Linked DNA regions of Lepisosteus oculatus. The protein of the gene in region 1 interacts with the protein of each later gene in a biochemical or structural test. Links are inferred from orthologs where the notes say so. Each region holds a gene or a part of one and is shown in the gene's direction. Other genes may lie near its edges.

Region 1 (7,829 bases):
GCTGTCCTTCTGATCTGAGAAGCTGCTGCGTCAATACTTCTTTAAAAGTATTCTGTCAATACTTCTTTAAAAGAACTTGATTTTTTTTTTTTAAAAGAAGACAAGCCCTAAGTGACAGAACAACGTATCGTCGTTCTGGACTCTGATGCCGAGAGAACTCAGCAGGAAGATGAGAGCTTGGTGCTGGCACAGCTGGCCTGCCCAGCGCCCTGCACAGCAGTAACTGTGATTTATGACCTTGTGCTGAATACGCTGGCCACATATTGCTTTTTAATCACCGTTATCGAACCATTACACATCATAAAACATATCAAGGCCTTCTCGGCTACAGAAAAATAAAGTGATTTTGCAAATTCCTGCTGGTAGGAATAACGGCAGTCAGCATTAACAAAGAGTGACAGTTTTTTATCTGTACAGTAATTCAGCTCATGCAGTGTGCTGTCCCTTACAAGCAGAGGCTTTCTCACTGGTCTGAAGTGCTCTCTGTCCACTGGATAGTCATTATCCTGAAGTGCAGAGATCATTATGTTCTTCATAACTGCCCCATAAAAGTGTTAACTGCAGCTTGACTGGAAAATGGAGAGGAGTAGAATACAAACCAAGGAAGCAACTGTCTCTTCTTCCTACCTGTTTAAACCGAATTTATGTTTCTTGTTCCATTTTATATTGCCACCTCTTGTGTCCTGACATGTTTCACTGTTGGGGGGGGGTTAAAATTTAGTTTTCATAAAACATAAACAAGATTTATCATCTAAACAAAGATTTTTTTTTTCAGGAAAAAGGAAAATACCCACAAACAATAAGCACATTATTTGAAGGCCCATCATTCAGCTTCAAAACCACAATGATCCTCTTTATGAAAAACACTATATCAAATAAGGAACTCTTAGACAAGTTTAAAATGAAGTCTGTAAAGCAAAGTGTATTATACTGTACACGTTTCCTGTCACGTCAAGACATGTTAAAGAGCTTTGTGATTAAGAGAATGATGAAACAACACAAATGTATGTTTTAAACTACAATGCATGCCGCTGTTTGTAGCTAAGAAATACAATAAATAGCTCTGGGCAAAATACATGCAAAAGACCTGTGATGCAAGCATGGTTTATTTTTAGAGTTCATGTCCAACAATTTGCATTTCTAGGCTGATAAATCACATTCATTGTTAAGAGACATATGACAGAATTGTTATGGTAACATGAATGTAATTCTGTAAACCACTGTCCACATCTGATGTGCTTTCACAAGTTTCCCCATATTGCTATCTCTAGGGGCAGGTTTAGATTTGAATGCTGTTGCAGTCTCTGACTAAGTGTATTAGGTGAAAGGTGTTGACTTCAAATGAGCAAGACCGCTCTTCAAATGTCATCACTTCAGGTGAACTGAAAAAAACCCTGCATTCTGGCAGCAAAGATCTTAAGACTCAAATCATCTGCTCCCCCTGTTGCTGTGTAGTGTTTCTGACAATTTTTATCTTCCATGTACAAATTACATCCCTGGCCTGAGAGTAAGATGATTAATCAGAGGAATAGTATTTAATGGATACTACTGTATATCTCTGCTCAGCCATAAAACCTTGTGTTGTGTGTTTGACCTAAAAAAGCTCTTTTTAAAATGCATCAAAGCGTAGGTTAGATCTGCAGTCTCTAATAAGCCTTGATGTCACAGCGTGCGTAATTCTTTAAAGCCAGATAACTGAAACTGTGATGTTGGTACTGCAGCTGACATCACCTCTTTCTATTGACAGAAAGGTTTGGAAGAGATTTCAGAAAATGCCCTGTCCTTTTGTCAGCACAAAAGAATCTGTAGAATTGGGTTAAAGGACTGAGAAACCTTACAAACACAACGTAAGAGGATTTGTGCTTCCATTACCAATACCTTGACTTGTAGAAATGTTGCTTTACATGACATTGCAGAGAAAGTCCTGAGTAATGATCAGAATGTCAGCCCACCTGTTTGTACCATTGATTCCAAATGCTTCTTGTATCTAAGTCAGATACCCTGGGATAATATGATATTTTTGTATTTGCCAGGTGGGTCAAACATTTGATTAAACCCAGGCTGTTAAAATGAAGACTTTTTGTCAAACAAATAGTAGGCAAAGGAATCTTGGTTTGTACCTGGTCTAACATGAAGTTAACGCACTGACGAATGCTAGGACCACAGAACTGGACATTAAAACATAAGCAACGTGCAACCTGTGATGACAACTGGGGGAGAATACCCTGGACAGGTGAGGCCAGAGGACGCATCTGAGGACAGTTTGGTAATTGTTTATTCCTGATTCCATGCAAAAGAGAGTGTGTTCTCCCTTTCTGTTGTGACAAAAATGCTTCATTCCTTTAGGATACTTTAAAGCTGTTCTTTAAAAAAAAAACAAGCCTTCTTTCTATATATAACATGTGAACACTGGCACCTTGTTTTACAGCAGTGTACGTATGTGAATTCAAACACTACTTGTTCCTATTTCCTGTCAGTGAGTACTGCAGCTCAGCATGCAGACCGCAACAAAACGATGTGGTTTTGCATGCTATCAGCTCGCATTTTCAGACAATGATATCAGACACTGCTGAAAGAACTGTGGTATACATGTCATTTTCAATGTAGTTTTACATTTTGTATGATTTCCTTTTGAGTTACACCTACATTGAAAATGTGCTTTCTGGAGAGAACTGGGTTTTGGTGCTCAACCCCTCAAGTTTCATAACATAATCTTTCGAGGGCAGGGACACTTGTTCAGCGCAGCAAAGGGTTCTAATGTCTCTTTTCCTTTTCATTATCACCATCACCAGTATTTTAAGTCAGTCTCCAGAGAGATCTAAACAAGGCTGGCTCGTGTCTAAGGGCTATAAATACCCACGTGCAGAAACGCACACTTTTTCCATACAGCTTCTTTACCTAAAAAACAACTTTTTTGTGCCGAATTTAAGAACTTTTCTGGGGAGGTGCGAGGACGGGCAGGAGGGAATAAACTGCACCTTTTCCACAAAATACCAGCCAATAAAAAAAAAAACCCAACAAAACTTCCTGCTGAGCCAGGAACCCACACCTGCCGGTCAGGTAACTGTTCACAGGTGAGCCGAACGCCAGCCCATTCAGCGTATGAATGAATAGCCCGAGGGCGTGATGTCCTTGTGTGGACACTAGCAAGGGACAATGCACAGAACAATGGGTTGTCACCATGACAACCCCTTCCAGCATCCATTCCCCACTGTGGCCTCTGGTCAGTCTTGATGCAGCTGACCACTGCTGACAACTGATTTACAGGAAACTATGGTCAGTGAAGCCACTTAAAAGATGTGTTTGTATTTTTGTATTTTTTTTGTGTTTGCTTTCTTCTCACAGGCCGTACGAAAGAAAAAGAAACTAGTTTTAAAAATCCGAAATACAGTTCATCTCCCTTTGATGGGTCTTGCAATTTCAGCGTGTAAACAAGGAGGTTTGCAATGTATTGAGTGAACAAATGAGAAAAATCAGTGGGGTTTCTGCGTACAGTATTAAGGATGGTGCATTCAAACAGATGTAACCTTTTTTAAGAACAGGCGATCAGGGACTTTTCTGTGATTCAGGCACAAAACCCACAAGTGCTATGGCCTACACAGTACTCAAAATCAAAATCAAAGATGACATCTTGTTCCATGAAATACTTCACGTGTAGTTTTAGTTTAATTGTTCATGTTTTGAAATCCCCCATCTTTACAGGAAGTCATTTCTTTGAAAGATTAAACTTGATAAATTATTAATTAAATGGCGCCCTCAGTGTTGAAATACAGGGACAGATTGTAAATCATCCATCAGCAACAGTTTTAGTGCTGAATCTCTCTGTTGGAACACTGATGCGAATGATAAAAAAAAGTGTCCTTTAAGAATCTTTGACTCTTGATGAGCAACCCCTAAAATACATTTCTGTAAACTTTGAAAGATACGTGATGTCAATCGTGGGGCTTTGAGCCCACACAAAGACATCAGAGAACTGTTCGTTCTCCAAATGAATGTGTTTTCACAACATTCTTCCAGATAACAGACCACATACAGACACGAGGACAGCATTTTCTGTTCTTGATTTTTATATAACGTAACAGTTTTGGAAGAGATCATGCCTCTGACAACTATACGCTATAAGCAGGTCATAGTTAGTGCTCCACAGAGGAGAATCAGACTGCACCAACGTGGCAGATGTCTGAATCAGAATCAGAGGTTCAGCCTGCCTGCCAGGGGCAAATTGCAAACCCAGTCCCTGATGGTGATGTCTCGTTCTGTGGCAGTTTCTCCCTAGCGCCCACTGGAGACTCACCAGCTGATGCCGAGTGCTTGATTTGTGATCTGTTGGTAAGCCCATGTTTATGGTTTAATCATTAGACAAGACAGATGTAAAACCCTTTTATTCTGACGTGCGTCTTTAAAAAGCCCATTTCAACAGAACAGAAGGGCGAGCCAAATTCATGCTTATATGTGTCTCCATTCAGGACTTCTCTTCTACACTTGGAGACAACATTGTCAGGCCTCTGGGCTGGCTTCCCTCATCACAATAACACCTCATGGCCCGAGATTGACCAATGTCGTTTTTCAACCCAAAGCCAAAAATGAGTTAGCAAGCAAAAATCCCTCTGCTCCATGACTTTTCAGTCCTTTCGAGTGGCAGGACCGAGGAGCATCCTGTGTAGCTGTCAGATGACTCAGTTGTGCTGACCGTGGGAGTCACAAAGGAGAGGATTACAGAACAGAAAAAGATCTCTTTGGAATACCCCTGGCTCGTGAGGAAACCAAAACCAGGTTATGTTGATAAAAGACAAAGCGCACACACACACACACAGACACACACACACACACACACACACACACACACAAGAACTACATGGTATTCTAACCCAAATCTGAATGAGGCTAACGTTCACAGCACAGCAGCTGGGACACCTGCGATAATGCATATCCCTGCTCAGGGCTGTATTGCAGTTAGAGGCTGAGGTACTCTCCACCAGAGACAGGAAGCCCTGACTTTCTGGTTTCTTAGCCGTTGTGGTGTGAGAACTCACACATGTCAAGGTTTGAAGGGTGGATGCGCCATCAGTTCATCTGCTCTGGGAGGGACAGAAACCTTTGCTTTCCTCGCGGAACTCTCCATAGCACAAGATCCTCAGCCTAGTTCTGTTTTAAGGGAGAAAGTGGGAATCTGCGTCACTTATCTACGTTTTACCTGAAGACTTGGCATGCAGGCTGTTGTCATCAGCAGTTTGGGCGAGTCCCCAGGACATTAGAATGTAGAAGACTCTCCAGGACAAGGCCCACACTTATCAGGTAAGTTCACGCAAGCTCATAATGATGGGCTCAAGCCAACAGTATTTGTGTTTTCTGCAAAATTGAGAGTTTTTAGGACAACAGACCGTGGAGTCTAGGACCCCATCAATGCAGCTGATGCTATTCCACACGACATCCTTTAGAAAGACAACAGTTTTCCAGAATACAATTCAAACAATGGCTGACAATGTTCCATCATGTTTTCGCATCTATTGTCTGATGTATGCAGAGTACTTGGATGTAGTGAAGTCATGTTAGTGATTTATAAGAATATGTAAGGATACCCATATTTTGTACTATTGATTTTTTTTAATTCCTTCATTTGCTTCAGAGTTTTGGTTTATGCTTTAAAAGCTTTTTATTTATTTTTTTAATTTAATCAAAAACCCTTTTCAGCCCATGTGTCCTAAATGAAATAAATGTCAAGGTGTTTGTCTATCTCATGCACTTGCATTCTCTGGTGTGTAAAAGTAAAAGTCAGGTTCCACTCTAGATGGGTTCTGCTCAAATTGAATTGAACTGAAAAATGATTCTACTCAAAAGTTACTTGAACTTGAACTCAAGCTTTATTGCCACGTGTAACTGGTATGCGTACTGGTACAATGGAATTCTTACTTACAGAAAGTCTCTCGATTGTTAAAACAAGTGCAAAAACGCAAAGTGCAGACAGTGCATCAAGATAATATACAAACAAACAGTAAACAGTTTGAATGTAAAGTTAGAGGAGAAAGTTCCAGAAAATGAGACATAAAAATGTCATGGTGCTGGACCGTGTACAATTTAGAAAGGTGAAACCATTTTCATGGGACTTAAAGACACAATATGCATGTGATATGGTATGAGGTGAAAAAAGACAGGTTATTGCTATGAACACAACTGTGTCCAGATAGTTTCTTCTATGGTTGTGTGTTGTGTGTTCTGTTTTGAAATGCTAGGAGAAATCAAAGTTTGATCCATCAAAGCAAAAAAAAACATGACGCTCCTAGCAGTATAATGTCATTCAGGAAAAACTAGCAAAAACCGAGCTTCAGCAGTCAGCCAGTGAATTACAGTGATGAGCTTTGTGAAGGGGCTTGGTTCACATTTAATTGGTTTCTTTAAGGATAATTCAAAGGGCGTAGAAATGCCCTTTGCCCTTTTAAGCGTAGAAATGAATTTTTATAAAATCATTTATAACTTTTTTATGGCAAGTTAATACCAAATACTGTGCCTGAGAGGTCAGCAGAGCTCTGACGCATGTGTACATTTGCAAGTGGAGATTTTAGCAGTAAGAGCAGGAGGCAGCAGGAATACTTTACACAGAGACGGGTAAGTGTTTTGGTTCTGTGGTCTGGCTTTTATTGCGAAGTCTCGGGCAATAAAAAGGCGTATTGTGATGTTCTAAATTTCCACTTGGAGGGACTTATGTATGGACAAAAAAAGATACTTGTCTGATCAGCATGGCACTGTATTACCTAGGGATCCATTAAAATGATCTGAATTCTGAAAGACTTGTCCCCTCTGCAGAACTATGAGTTCTGAGTGAATGGACCCCTACACTGGGAGGGCGGCAGTTTAATTATTCAAAATCATTTACATTGAAAATAATTTAAAAACGAAGTTTTAAAGACTCTCTGTTTTCTTCGACACTCAGTGAAGAAACATGCTGTCCCGTTGTCGTAGTACTTATTTTTCCAACTTCATGATGATATACTCTTCAATATGCACATTCTAATTGTTTGATGTGTTGGTTGGATTAGAAACAAAGGTCAGTTAAATAAGTGTAGATGTGACTGAGAGAGATGTTACTATGTCATTCATCTTTTGTATTCATTTCTTGTCAGGGCCCAAGCTGGCTAGTTGGTATTGTTGTATCTATGTAGTTCAGCATAGAATAAACCTATTACTTGTTGTATCTATTACATGAAAATTGTATTTCTGTAGCTTGTAGTTTTAGGGGTTAAAACACGGCCTCGTATGCTTGGTGGACGGACTGGACACTTCACACCAGAGTGTGATCTGTTTTGTATCACCATACCAAAAACAGATTTTTTTAAGTGTGACCATGATTATATTTCCTACCACAGAATGTTGTGCAGAGAACTGGTACAAAATGGAAGTGCAGCTGCAAGGGCAGGGAAGTTTAAAAAGGTTTGGGCCTGCTTAATGTCCCTGTTCATGACATGAAGTCTTGAGTAGCACCAGGCTGGTTGAAGGTGGTAAGAGTAATACCAAATAATAATAATAATAATAATTATGATAATAATAATAATAATAATAATAATAATAATGTCCAGGACCTGCACTGGAATGATTCTTACACTATTTAAGCTGCCTGATTATTACCAATAATACCACTTCACCTGTTATGACACTTTCACAATGCTATTACACTATAATAACGGGGTTGTTAGCCACTTATTAAAAATAAATTAGCTTCATAAGCAGTTCCCCCAGGTCATGTGCTTAGGAATCTGTAAGGCTGTAATTTATCTCCCCATCAGTGCTGCTTTTCACCAGGAACTCGGAACAAGAGCGAAAAGAGACAGGTGATT
Region 2 (7,429 bases), on another chromosome or scaffold:
CTTATGTCATGAAATGCTTATGCACAAGGTTTGCTCCCTCCATCTTGAGCATGTTAAAAAAAGAAGTTATACTGCAGTGGAATCAGGGCTTTTTACTGTTACTCAAATTCAATTTTCACTACTGAAAACTGAAAACTGACCAGTGGTAGGGAGCGTTCCAGCGAAACTGTCAAAGAAATGTTGTTTATTCTATTATATAAACCATTAATCAAAAGTTATACTCGTGAATGGGTTAATTTGTGATATAATAAAGGAATTCTTAGTGCCTATTATAGTGGTGTTAAGGAAACAACGACCACAACTTGTTCAATTAACTGATTTTTGTGTTAATCTACATTGTCTAAGCAGTGATTCAGTGAATGTCTCAGTGACTGAAAGTCCCACTAAAAACATTCACTTTTCAAGCTCTTTATGCAGGGCTGGATGCATTCCAGCGATGTTGACAGTGTTTACAAAATGATAAACATAAAGCAGGATCAAGATTAGGATGTACTAGAAATTGTACTATTATAGAAATAAAGATTGTGATGCTTTATTAAAAAAAAACACAGTACAGGATGATGGCAATCTTTGTAACACACATGATTTAAAACAAAATTGAAGTTATGTTGCGGTCGCAAACTTTTTTAACCAACTCCATCAACATAATTTCACATCATCTTTCAGAGTCAAAGGTCTAAGTTTGCTGTGCAAATTGATAACCTTAATTTCTGAATTTCAACCCCTGTCACTGATGATACACCAAACGGTGAGTCACAGAGCAGCATAACTTCCTTTTCTGAGCTTGCTAAAAATGGAGGGTGCAAACTTTGTGCATAAGCACTTAAATCCACTCCTAAGCAGCATTCATACGTTGGAGTGGTACTGCCATCTGTGAATTCCCTCAACGTAAATGCTCTCAGTTATCAATGTACCACAAAATGCGTAACTGATGTTTGAGCAGATTCACAACTTACATCCATCATGACTGTTTAATATGAAGTAATCACTTACAGTTATAAGTGGTCTAAAATTAAAATGAAATAAATTGCTTAATATATTGTACAGTAGGCAATGTTACATTATTTGTTAACTACACACAGAATAGAATAGAATCACTACAAACTGATTAGTCTTTGAGGACTAATTTTCTACTATTAATTTTATAAAGTAGTTCCTTTCATAAGAAATTTTTATTTTTTAAAAGTAAATTTCCCCAATATAATAAAACTTAATGCAAATGTAAACACTCAGATTCAGATACTATAGTCTAATACCAACCAACTAATACTGTAGTTGGACATCTAAAAATCAAGTCTGGACCAAGATTTTGTTTGAAAAGACTAAAGGGCTGTAATGCAACTAAAAATGAACTGATCATTGTATGATCTGAACAAGTTAAAAATAAGAAGAGTTTCATGGGAATGCAGGAAACAAATATAATAATCCACAGTCATTGTGCATCATACAATATACACTGCTTCACTGTTATGATTTACACCTTTCAAATCAGTCTGTTGGTCCTTTGTCAGCTCAGGTTTTTATACACAAAGGCACAGGATGTGGCTCCTTTAATCCACGCTTCAGTTATTACTCCTTGCAACATTTCTGCAATTGTCTTGCCTAGAACTGTTTTTCAATTCTCATATGATGCAATGAAAAAATGAAACAGAAAAAAATGACAGTTTTTGATTAAAATTACAATTCAAATTTTTCTCAAAATGCCTGTGAAATTGGAATTGGCTCTGGCTTATCGACAGTGCCCCCATTCACAAAGTATGGGGATGAAAAATATTTTGTTGAAATTTTTTGAAAGAAGTTAGTGTAGCTTACCACTAAAAGATAACAGCAAATCGTCTTTTTGTAATCTCAGGGAAATCTTGATATGAATCCCTTTAATCTTGGGTGCATTTGAACCCAAACCAAAACTATGCTAACCAAAACTACACCAAAACTCAACCTTCATTCTATTAAATCCCATGTTCGTTCCTCCCAATGTTTACTGCTTGTATAATGATGTTTCTTTGCATTTATACACTAAAGTGTTTTACATATAAGACAAAAGAGCAGAACTTACTGGGGTGTCATTCAGGAGTCATGTGCCAGCAGTCTTACTACATGACAGTTCAAGAAAAGTTGTGAGAAACTTCCTCACCAAAAAGAAAAAGGATTAGAACTTTAGGAAGGCCGGATTGTGCAAGCCAAGAACGGAATTTCACCATAACATCAGAGCTAAAACCCCCTTATTTTATTTTAAAAATGCACTGAGATCATTCATGACCAATTAATCAGGACCATAGTTTAATTTTTTAGGCAGAAGACAGCACATCCTATGGTATACCTGTGTCCTCAGGTTTGGAGGGTCTGGTCCAGAGAGAAGAATGGCGCCTACTGGTTCACCAACACTGCTGCCAATATCTTTTGTTCTACATCTGTTTGGACCTTATAAAATCCACACCAAATCTGAGCAATAGTTTTACTCCCTACCACATATTCAATGGCTTTACTTCTCTGTGCAGTATAGTTCTCAACAATGAAAGTGTCACATTATCCCCGTGGATGCTGCACATTGGTGGTGGTGGAGAGTTCCCATTACCTGTAAAGTGCTTTGAATGGAGTGTCCAGAAATCACCATGTACAGTAAGTGTAAGAAATTCTTCATTATTATTATTATTGTAATGACTGCTGGGTTTCAGTATGGAATGAAGCAGGCATACAGCTTTGACGTGGGTTGGCAGAACATTTATTAATGCTGCTGAAGAGGGTTACACACACAGGGAATGCAGCACAACACCTACACTATACACGAAAGGGAAAGAGCGTCTCACAGCTCCCAAACAACTATATATGGTAGTCCCGCCCCTCAGGCACTGTTCCCAGCCGCCTTGCGTGCGCATGGCTATAGGCGGCGGTGCAGCCACTACAGCGTCCCACGTGGGTGCTACACTGCCCCCACCTGAGGAATCAGGCATCCCTGACTCCAAACTGTCCCTCCAGGCTGCACATGCAAGGCAGGCTGCTCCCGGGGCTCTGCTGCTCCTCTTGCCCGGGGCTCTCGCTGAAGCTCTCTCCGTGCACTGGGCCTCTCTCTGCATGCCAAGCCTCTCACCAAGCCGCTTCTACTGTGTCTAGCTGGGCGTCTCCGCGCACCAGGCCTCTCTCCGCGCGCCGGGCCTCTCTCTGTGGGCTCCCGCTGCCTCTCGCTGGAGCTCTCCGCGCCACTCTCATTCTCATTCATTGCGCCGCTCCATTCTGTCCCGCTCCAAACACCAATGTAATGACCATGGGGTTTTGGTATGGAATGACGCAGGCATACAGCTCTGATGTGTGTTGGCAGCACATTTAGTACACACAGGGACACAGGGAATACAGTACAATACCTACACTATACACAGACACGAAAGGGAGACGTCTCACAGCCCCCGTCCAACTATATACAGTCCGGTAGTCCCGCCCCTCCGGCGTCGTTCCCAGTATGCATTGCATGCACATGGCTACAGGGGGCGGTGCAGCCGCTACAGCATCACACGTCATTATTATTATCACAAAGGACTTTGTAAGACATGTTAAAATGAATGAAAGTAGAAAAGTCCCACTGGTAGCTGGTGTGTGGTGAGTGTACTGGCATACTTTGGCTGCCACCACATCATCCAGGTGGGGCTACACAGGTGGCATTAGAGGGGAGTCCCCATTATCTGTGTAGTGCACTTTGAGTAGAGTGTACAGAACAGCACTTTGCTGTGTAAGTGTGAGAATTATTTAAAAAAAAATAGAATGAAAGGCTTGTATAGTACGTGATAGAAAATAAGAAGATTAAACAAAAAGTAATCTTAATTTAAAAACACATTGTTACAGTATAACTGCTGGTAAAAACAGCTCCAATAATTTACCATCAAGGTGGCTGTGACCAGCTCACTACATCTACTGTGGCATAGTCTGAAACTTTGTGTTGCTTTAAAATTATTCATTTAAAAGTTTAAGTTTAAACAAGGAGGAATTAAGCTGTCTTTAAAAAATGACTAGACAAAAAAGTGCTGGGTGTAAAAAAAAATCCAAATCTGCTAAACTGTTCCACTGTTTGGAAGTAACAAAAATAATAATTTATGTTAAGGCCTATTAGGAAAGCCTGAATCCCATTAATTGCACCAAATAGACACACTGAAAACCATTATTCTGGCAAAATATCAGAAATCCTTTCAAAAATGATGATACTGAATCTTCAAAGTCACAATCTGGAGTTTGTATGATTTGAAATTAAGAGTGTTGCACAATTGTTTTTCCTGAATTATTTGGTACAAGAAAACAATCAACTTCTGTCTATGGCTGTTTTCAAAGTTGAGTGGAAGAACTAAATGTGGCGCAGTAGAAATTCACTTATAACCTGACTTCCTGCAGTGAATGGACCAAGAGCATGTTAAAAATGTAGGTACGACTTTCTATCTGACATCATTCACAGTAGCATGACAAGAAGCGAGTGGTTAGGGTTTGGGTAACACACAGAGGAAACTGCACTCGGACTGATAAGCAGGCAAGAAAAACGTATGTAAAACGTTGCTCAATTATACCCATTTCAAGTAAAAAAATAAAAAAACTGTTTTTAAAAAATTATTCTTATGCTGATTCTCAATAGGACGCATGGTGTTTCGGAAGGACTTTGCTGAACTCTGGAAATGACAGGTCTTTTTGGACTGAAGCTGACACTATGTGTCGGTTTGCTGGTCTTGGGCATCGTTTGTGAAGGTATGTAGCGGATCATATTTTTTGGTAGTCCCTGGTTGTGACAGATTAAAATGTTTTTTTTGATTGGTTTATTTAAACTGCTCTGCTTAATTAACTTTCCTCATATATTAGAAAAAGGGTTATACTTTTCAATTAAGTAACAGTTTTGTGCTTCCATTAGTATGGCAGTTTCATGTTGACTACATATAACTAGTTAATATTTAAGTGAAGAAAAGAGAACCTTTTTTAACATAATTCACCAAATAGGTATTGTTTCGCTACAGTTTTTGGGTTACATTAGCTTTTCATTATTTATGTATTTTTATTGAGGTTGGTTATTTTTTGTTATTTATTCAGATTTTAAACTAAAGGCCTTCTTATGCCCACAAAACCTATCTTTTGAAATTTCCCCAAAATTTTTATTGTCATTAAAAAGATCTCAGTTAAATTAAGTTTATAGTATCTTGTAGTATTCATATTTTTGTTCCTGTAATTTTTCAGTTCTCATTGATGGTTTCATGACATCCCTCTTAAATGTGCTGAAAATATTTTATATAGTAGTGAACAGACAAAGAAAAAGATGACTTCATAAAAACAGTTAATGAATTCAATTAATCATTTGATTGCTTCCAAATCTTTTTTGCAGTGGTTAGTTTGAATTTTTATATCTCTAATAAAATATTGACAAAAATATAAACAATGCTCCTCAAACTGGAAAAAGTTGTTTTGTAGAGAAAAGAGATTTTGGCAGTGCTAAATTTACAAAATAATTTACTGTTAAAGAGATTAAGTTGAACACAGAATAAGTAGAAAGAAAATAAATCATAAGGTGACCATTTAAAAAAAACAAGCAGTAAAATGTTCATGTAAACTTTTTAAAAAAGTACACAAACTCTGTTGAAAGTACTGGACTGAATTATTTGATATAAAAATCTGCATTATTTCATCGCTCACTAATCATACATTTGCCACTCCCTTCATATTTTTTTGCAGTTCCTCTTTTAACATTGAGCATTACTTTAAAGTTAATACACTATGAGTCTTAGGAAAAAAACAAAATAAAATAGAAATACATATTATAACAAAGTAAACCAATGTAGTAAGTTTAATGGTAACATTCATACTGCCAAAATTTGTAACGTATTTGTTCCTGTTGCCAGAATACAATTTTTTAAATTAGTTTCCAGAAACAAAATCACTGTGAGACAAATATCAAAGGTGTTTTAATTCTGAAATGTATTAAATAGAAATGTACTGCATCTTCTGGATACTGTATGTTATTGAATGCAATGAATGCCAAAATTAATGATAACATTTTTCTACTGGTTTTGAAACTTAGGGTGTGTCCTTCTAGTAAACTTTTACTCAAAGGGTAATTAGTCTTCAGCATCCAAACCATTAACTACTTGTAAGACGTACTGTATCAGAGGTTATCTGCTTCAAATGTTTAGAACAAACCACTATGGAACACAAAATGCATTGTTTTTACTATATATTTAGTACTTTAAATTAATTTTGGGTGTTACTTTATGGTTTTAACATGTTGATTAAAACTAAAATAAAGTAATTTAGCGATAATTAAAAACAAATATAATAGCAGTGTAAGAAATGGTGTAGTATGTGTAATTATATATTAGTGTGTCTGATTCTTCTCTTGGTGCTCATTTTCAGATGTGTGTTCCAATTTTCTCATTCTGCCTCCTCTATTTAAAGATACATATATATACATTTCGTTTAATTTTATCGGAAGTCCAGATTTATACCACTGTAACCTTTAGTTTGTATTTTTTATGTTGAAGGTTAGTACATTTTGTTTCACTAATGGATCTCAAAAAGGTTTTTAATATTACAACCTATAAATGAGAACATACTGACTTCATGGAGGTCAATGTATTATTATTATTGCCATGCAAGTTTCAATAATTAAGACTGAAAGCATAGGTGAGACCTAAGTGAGTAATAGTCATCTGTTTCATTTATTTTCTTGAAAATCCTGAACTATCGCCCATTTGCAAATGACAAATTAAAAATATTTTGTCTTGTTTATACTCAGTGGTAAGCCGCCATCGAGAACTGAGTGTGTAAATTGCGAGTACTGGGGGTTGAAGTGCTTTGCACTTGCAAGTATCCAATATGTATGACCATATCTGTAAAAGTGATATAATTTTTTTCTTTAGAGCTTAATCTCCTTTGAGTTTGCTGTTTCATAGTGCGGTTTAAAAATTCATCATTAAATGTGTGAATGATATTATATTGGCCTACAATAGTAATAGGAACTGTTATTTTTCATATTATATGGTGAAAAGATTCTCATGACAAGGCCTTTAACAACAGAATACTCTTAGGTCCTGTAACTAACTAGTAAGAAAATGATTCATGTTTAGACACAAACAGATTGACATTAATAATTGATTTGTAGAATAATGGCTGAACTTCAATTTACTAATCAGTTAATGTGTAACTTTTATCTTTTTTATCTTTGTTATTTTGAATATTTGTTATATTGAATATGTGTTATTCTTTGGGCTTTTACTTTGGGATTTTATTGTTTACAGAATTATAGTATTAATCTGAAAGTGATCTCATGCAAAGATAAATTAAAAACACCAAAAATACAAATTAGTCAATGCGCAAGATACAGCTTCTAAAACCTAGCAGACTAGCAAGAAAGGTGTTGGTGCAGGTACTATTTCTAAAAATACAGCAGCAACGATACATATCCTTACACATA
Region 3 (7,738 bases), on another chromosome or scaffold:
ATTCACTGTGGTTTTTTCTGGTCACCTTTATTACGAGCCATTTCTTTGAAATGGATGTTTTTGCAGAAATCGTATAGATGAGGTAATTTTCAAAAATTCCTCTGGTAAATTTGGCCTTTGTTTTTCAAATCACCCCTATACAGTAGCTATTGATTATAGCTTACCAATTAACACCTTCAAACAGTTTAAGAGTAATAAACCCTTTTCATCACCCAGAGGTCAGAAGAAACATGGGGTTTTTCATCTCATCTTCAACTGTCTTTTTCAGAAAAAAAAGTTCAAGTTCAAGTTACAGTGGAATTAAATATTGGTCCTTCTGGCCCATGATGCAATTACAAACAAGACACTGACATTGTAGACAGGATACACATAGTGCAATTACTACTAAAAATAATAATACTAATATTGATAAATAGGATGGTTCAAACTAAGACAGTGTACACCAGAACAGAGGCAGTGTACACAGGAGATACTCATTTACTCATTTACTCAACTATTACAGAATAGTATAAAAAATACATCTTACAGTGAATGGAAAAAAAAGGTTCATTGCACATTTTGCAGATATGCAGGTTCACATGATAAGAAAGCTGTCCATGCCTGGCACTGAAGCAAAATGCAGCTGCAATCTTTCTGGTGTCTAGCCTTGCTCCACTGGTTGAGGTAACATACAATAAAAACTCTTCATTCTTACTATGACGCTGAACCTCAGAAATGCCATCCCTCTTTGTAGAATTACAGGAATAAAATATTTGATTTGATCAGTAAGTTTAATTTAAAGGCCAGTTTAACCAGATGTCTGGGCAGGTCCAACACATTGCATGTCAGTGTGTAGCAAATACAGTACCTCTATGGAAACAAAATACATTACATTCATGTAATGACACGGAATCCCATAAATACCAAAGAATAAGGTATTTGTGAATTTCGTAATATGGGCCCCATAAACAAAAAACATTATAGAAAGACTTTATTAAAGGAGCACTTCATGATGTCACTATTCGATTTGCTACCCACAACCTAGAAAGCAGTGTGCATCTGCAGTGATTTCGTTTTTTTACTGTATGAAACCTTTCAGTGTCTTTTGCCGGATTTCTCAGAGCTGCCACTAGAGGGCAGATTCCATTTGAATATAAAAGGCAACTTTATCAGAACTCAGAGCTGCAATTTCATATTGCGCTTAACAGCAAATACTGACACAAAACTTTCATGCAGCGGAGAAATACATGTTAAGTAATAATTTATTGATCACCACCGATTGTTGTTTTTTTTTGCAGTTGAAGGGCACACTGGCGCTAAGTATAAGTACAGAGAAGTTTGTGATTATATCATTCTGGCTATCATCTGCCAAGGGAAGGTGAATCAGGAAAGAGATCCAGCATTTCACTAACATCCACAGAATGTGTGGCTCACTTGTTGGAGATCAACCCAGTGAGATCTGAGAACATAGGAGGTCCTGATGAAGAGAAGGTAAGATGATAATGTTGGCTGGACGTTTCAATCAAAACTCTATTGTGCAACTGATTTTTATACAGAGATAAGCTTGTAGCCCTTCCAGCCCTTCATAAGAAGGCCTTTAGGCAGATGCACAACAACGAGGAGTGGAGCTCATATCATTGGTCCTCCTCCTCACCTGCAGGATTTGGAATGAGGAAAAAAATCTGAGATGATTTCTGGGATGCCATGAGCGTGTGGATATTACAGAGGTTTCTCTGTCTATCACAGGGCGATCATCAGCTACACCCTTCAGAATTGTCAGTGTGTGCTAAGGCCAGAACTGACACAATGTTCACTGTTCACCAGTGGCAGGAAAAGACAGAAAACTTTCTACTACTGTATATGGCTTTTTTTGACTTTACAAAATGAAAACCACTAATTGTATCAATGAAGAAGCCATATAGAGAATCCATGTGAAGTACTGATGCCTTCCAAATTTTGTCTTTGCCTGATAATAAAAATGATAATATTTGAGCACTGAATGACAGTATCTATCATGACCCCCCGTTGAAGTTTAGGCAAGAATCAAGCAAAGCATGATATCATATCTGGTCACCACAGTCTCCTAGTTGTTGTTGCTTGTTCTAAATTTTCTGATGGAAGAGTATTTAACTCTTTAAAACACAGCATGTAAGGTGTTCCATAGACCCATGACACAAAGTGTTTTAAGCTACCATTGAGACATGAACAGACCTCTTTTAACATCCACTAAAGCCCTCATCTATGATACGGATCCATCTGACTTTCTTCTCTATGCACCACTGAACCATGGCCTCCATGGTCAAAGATCTAAGAGTGATCATGAGGTCCAACAGCTTATTGTGGTTTAGACAGGAGATAAAAGGCTTCCAACAGTGCCATGAAACCAGAATCATTCAAATGTATGTATTAAAGATATAGTGAACAGTGATCAGTCCAATGATAAGTGATACCTGGTCTCTTCTTTCATTTCTGAATGAGCTCTCATTTTTTAAATGCTGACATATTTGACATTTTGTGAGATATTTGAAGTTTTTCGGGATGGTGACAGACAGTAACATCTTTATGCTCCAGTCATGCTTCTGTTTTGCTCTTAAGGTATTCAATGCATTGTTTAACCGCTTTAAAATATGCAGTTTCACGTAAGTGACTGGGCGTTTCTGACATGGGAAAAAATGTTCACAGAACCAGCATTACAGTCAAACTGTAATTAGATCAAATGCTGCTAGCTGTAATGGCATCAAAGCTGCATGTACTTTCCAGAAGCCTGCTCATTAATCAACTGACTAGAAGTGCTCATGACTTAATTAAAATAATATCAGTATCGTTTTATTGAAAGCAATAATGCAGATTAATGTGGAATTAAAGGTGGACTTGTTGCACAAACAAGCAGCAAGTGCCTGTTGGGACTCCTTTTGAAAAAAGTTAACCAGATTTTTTCAAATTTACCATTTTTTATACTTTGTGCCTTATAGCTCAATCTCTACAGTGGCTGTTGTAAGACAGCTAAAATATGCCCATTTCCATATGGTCCAAAACAGCAGCTACAGCAGGACTGATCCAGCTACAGGAAATGTTTGGTTGAGGTCATACTGTACTTACATTCACATACTTTTTACTTTTTTCAGCATAGACACTAAATGTTTAAACAATGTGCTCAATGTAGTCATGAAAAAGTCACAATTGTTTATGTGTTATTTGTTTAATCAGATTGTATTTAATTATTATTATGACTTATCTGAAGAACAGATTGCACTTTAGGAGCACGTAATTAATACAGGAATACAGATGATTCCGAAGGGTACACAAACATTTTTCTCACAACTGTAAGGTTGGTTTTTATTCATGTAATAAATGAAAATTGGATTTACTCATCTGAAGTACTACAGGAGAAGTGCCAGAAGCTAGATTTTTGAACAGACAATTTGTCTTCATTCTTAGTTCCCTATAATAGACTGGCAGGCTGAAATTACACTTCCTTAACCTCAGGATAGAAGTGATGCACACAGAGGTCTTTTAGAAATGTGATAGGGAAGGAAATAGAGGCAGAAGATATTTCTCCTTTTGCTTCACTATGTTCTACTTGATAAGATCCTTTTTGAAACGCATGGACTGTGCTCTCACTGACCACATTATCACAGCAACCATGAAAATATATCAGTGGTAGAACTGAAATATACAAATGCATACAATGTACAATTTTCCATCTCTTGTGAAATGTTAATTTTTAGAAGGCTAATATGTTTCACTTTCAGAAGCATACAATACACCAGTAGACATTATTTAAAAAATGTATGCATTATGACAAGCCAACCTACAGCCCCATATAGCACACAAGCAGCCTTCTGTTGAGAATCTTTGGAAATTTTCAGACAAGAAAAGCAAGTCAAACACTAAATCACAACACTGAGCTGACAGTCTGTTTGAAAAGGGAGCAAAATGAATTCACAAAGCATGTGAGTTCACTGTTGCAGCACCTGACACTGTTCTAGGCTGCAGAAGGAGCTGCACAATTCAAAGATAAGGATGCCAGTAAAGGAGAATGCATTCCTGAAACACCATGCTTACGTCAGTGTCACAATTTCCTGTTTAACATGGCAAAACCTTTTAAAAGGGGTAACAAAAGAACAGTTCTTCGAAACCTGTTGGCCAAGAGTACGTTTTATGTCATGACTGCAAATCAAGTAAACTCTATAATTGTACTTTTAAGACTTGGTTTGTCTCATCATCATCAGAAAGGGATGTCTAACTTCATACGTTGTTACTTGGCATTAAATATTTTCAAATATGTCATTTTCAGACATATCAAATCCAGACAGAGAGGTGAAAAGAGCTAGCTCAGCAGAGCACATACTGTAAAATTCACTGGAATCAATAAGACAGAAGGCACAGAGAAATGGGTCTTACCAATTTCTTTACCAATGGGAAATACCTTCTTGGGACTGATTAGCCTTTCAAACTGGATTCTGGGAGTGATGAATGCTGTCTGACTGGCTGTGCAGCCTCACCGCTTCTTGTTTTACATTTCCTAATTCCCTGTCTTGAAGCGTGATTGTGTTGTTGTCATTTCACTGCACGTCTGTAGGAGACTCTCGCAGCACAGCACACTAATTGTCCACACACATCACAGCACATGCGCACACTCAATATGGGAGAAGAGAAACGGGCTCTAGGACCCTGCATGACGGATGATATTTTTAATCTGACCACAGAACCTGTTAGCTATGCTTCCTTCAAGACAGCTCATGCAGTTCTTAACCACAGGCTCATTGGCAGTAGAGGCTGTCAGTGTGCCGGTCCCACGAGCCCCCAGTCCTGACATGTCCTACCCCAGCTGCAGGACACCCAGAGGACAAAGGGACTCAGCATGGACCAAAGGAGCATCCTGAGGAAGTTCCTGGACGAGATGCAGACCAAGGAGGCTCAGTCTGAGGAGATCTTTGCCAGCGAATATTTAGTGAGTTCATTCTTTCAAGCTGTACTTTGATACTATAATCTCCTTTAGCCCACATGAAACAAGCTCGGGCTTTGCCTCAATTAACTGAAGTTCACAGGAGTACAGAAGGAAAGTTTACAAACAAAAACTGAAAAGTTCTGAGCGCCGACTCTTTCAGTGCTGCACTAAGGAAGAAAAAAGTTTAAATCCCTTATGAACAATTCAATTCCTCTATCTTCTCATATTCTTTTTATTAGTATTTAAAGTTTTATAGTAAGTACTGTAAGATGTGGTAATGATGGTCGTCAACAATAGCTGTCGGCTTAGATATATAGAGTGTAAATGTATAGCAGCAACAATGTGTTCATTATGATATACACATGATGTGCATGTAATGTACCGAATGCACTGGTCTGTTAAATTTCTTCTACTTATGCACTATATATTGATAGTATATCTATATGTATAGTTTATAAACTATATTATGACTACATTTTTAGCACCTCTCTCAGTATAGGCCTGTAAAATAGAGTAGCTGATTTAAAACACTACAGTGCGTCTGTTTAAAAGGCTGGAAGGAAGTGATCGATGTGACGGAGTTAGTATCGCTGTCTGTAAGGCCAGGACAGAAAAGGCATTTAGTAATGCACTTATAATCACCTCTAACTCAGCACGAGCATGTAAGAGTGATATCTCATGTTAAAGAATTTTCTCAATTATTAGAGTGTTAAATATTTCCACAGCTTGTTCCTGTATGAGAATAACTGATACTATGCCATGTTGTGGTTTTACCCCTTATGTGGTGTTTGTAGAGTTCCTTGAAAATGTTCCGGTCTGACCATCATAACATGTCAGAAACAAAATGAAACAGGAACTCAAAAACAAAAGACAAATCTGCATTTTTGTTTTCTGCAAGTTTTGGTCACATTCATCTGTTAAAATCAAACTGACAATCCATAGGAGAGTTTAAAATGCAGTCAGGGTGTCTGAGCACATTGTTCCAGAGGTCCCGTTTGGGCCAGAATGTAGCACTGTGTCTGCCTCCTCTCCCTGCTGGGGCACTTCTCTCTGTAAATACTGCATGGGTGATGTGAAAGAGTACTGTATTTTTTCTCACCTACATAAATTTGCAAATCTACCTTTTGTAAGACAAAGGACCAAATTCCTTGTGCTGGTGGACACGACCTATAAACTTTGAACTTGAAGAAGACACCATTTCTGTATGTCTGTTTGTGTTTGATAGGGTGGGTGTTTTCCTAATTTACCAGCAGCATGAAAACACTGGAGAAACACTAAAAGTTTCTCATTGATTTTTAGACTTACTCTGAGCTCTGTTATTACTTACTCTGTTATGGAACAGTGTAGGCCGCTCACAGTTATGGTCTCATCACAGCTCTTGTTTAAGTGCTGCATGTTTAAAGGCAGTACTGCTTCTGAATCGTCCATTACCTAAAGTAAACTAGACACTTCTAATATTAACTTTCTTAAGCAGAAAGATCTTTATACTGTATTTATTTTTATTTTTATTTTTATTCTGTACTCTGTATTTTAACATGTTTTTCTAAAGTGTGAACTTCTCTAAATGTGACACTTCTGTTATTAAGAGCCTTGCCTGTTCCCACGAAGCCATTAAAGCTAAAGCACATACTGTAAAAATGTAAGAAAGGTTATGAGGTTGGTATTTAGAGGCTAATTGATCAGGGGATCATATCAACCCTTTTCTGGAATAAAAGCAGGGTATTGGCTTCAACAACAGACCTGAGTTGCCATAGTTTGCACTTGTATTGGTTGGTTCAGATTTCAGTGGTGAAGTCCACTGAGTTGACTGCTACAGTTGCTTTAATTGATTTTGACTATTTAAAAATCAGGTTCCTCATAGTCTTCTCTGTTCAAGACTAAAAAGATTCAGTTCCTTCAGCCTGTCAATGTACTCTCCTTTGAGACCAGGAATATATCTTGTCGCTCTACCCTAGAGCAGCATTTATAGCATGATTAAAAAATTGTACACAAAATTCTACAGAGATATTACTAGTGCAATTGTGTGCAATTTCAATACAACATCCCATTGATTTGAATTTTACACTTATAACTAAATGTTGTAACACTCTGTTTGCCTATTCTCATTGATAACACTTGACTGAACAGTTTTAGTCAGGCCTCGTGGCAGGAATAACACACTAAGGAAATGTTTACTACCCCTAGGACACCCATGAAAAACGGTGGTGCGAGGGGGGCAGTAATGTAAATGGACTAAATAATCACTTTTCCTATTTATGATTTCATTATCTCTGCATTTTACCAGTACCTCTCCATTCCCATTGCACTCATTTTACTGACACTTTTTATTCCTGCTGTGCCTGAGTAAGCACGCAACTCGTTAAACAACCCTTCATCTCTTCTCATTATGATGAATTAATGAGTAAAGGTCTACTTTCAAGAAACCTCTGAGGCTGCAGATGAGCCAAATTGCTTTGAATGGTAAAAATAAACTGCTGGTTATTGCTCTACGTTACAACCCATTTAACCTTCTCGTCCTCTGTTACAGACTTAATGCTAAAATATCAACTTTAAACAGTGCTGTTCTGGTGCTGATGGTTCTTTTGCAGCAGGGTTCTGTGGTCTTATGATATTATCAATGATATTCACTAAAAGAACCAAAATGGCGAACATGTGTTTTTATCACATACTGTACATACCTGAAACAGTTTTGGTTTGAATGGTGATAGGCTGTGGATTGCTGTGACACGGAACAGACCTGTATTGCACACTGTTACTGCGAGGAAGGATTTTGTTTTGGGGGATCTTTGTTTCTAGTACAACCAGTAT

Evidence for each region. The genes of interacting proteins can lie anywhere in the genome.
Region 2: of the proteins of lck (region 1) and ptprc, one has a biochemical effect on the other in vitro, tested with the Homo sapiens proteins (5 studies listed by BioGRID and IntAct, with this or other methods). The link is inferred for Lepisosteus oculatus from reciprocal best matches to the Homo sapiens genes LCK and PTPRC.
Region 3: of the proteins of lck (region 1) and ptpn22, one has a biochemical effect on the other in vitro, tested with the Homo sapiens proteins (3 studies listed by IntAct, with this or other methods). The link is inferred for Lepisosteus oculatus from reciprocal best matches to the Homo sapiens genes LCK and PTPN22.

What each region holds. Positions count from the first base shown.
Region 1 is NC_090706.1:3,393,817-3,401,645, forward strand, and holds the start of lck (tyrosine-protein kinase Lck), read left to right. Parts: upstream 1-4,825; 5' UTR 4,826-5,295; intron 5,296-7,829. UniProt on the Homo sapiens protein: Non-receptor tyrosine-protein kinase that plays an essential role in the selection and maturation of developing T-cells in the thymus and in the function of mature T-cells. Plays a key role in T-cell antigen receptor (TCR)-linked signal transduction pathways.
Region 2 is NC_090704.1:11,608,616-11,616,044, reverse strand, and holds the start of ptprc (receptor-type tyrosine-protein phosphatase C), read left to right. Parts: upstream 1-4,409; 5' UTR 4,410-4,518; intron 4,519-4,609; 5' UTR 4,610-4,649; coding exon 4,650-4,719; intron 4,720-7,429. UniProt on the Homo sapiens protein: Protein tyrosine-protein phosphatase required for T-cell activation through the antigen receptor. Acts as a positive regulator of T-cell coactivation upon binding to DPP4.
Region 3 is NC_090700.1:35,040,328-35,048,065, reverse strand, and holds the start of ptpn22 (tyrosine-protein phosphatase non-receptor type 22), read left to right. Parts: upstream 1-4,718; 5' UTR 4,719-4,843; coding exon 4,844-4,933; intron 4,934-7,738. UniProt on the Homo sapiens protein: Acts as a negative regulator of T-cell receptor (TCR) signaling by direct dephosphorylation of the Src family kinases LCK and FYN, ITAMs of the TCRz/CD3 complex, as well as ZAP70, VAV, VCP and other key signaling molecules.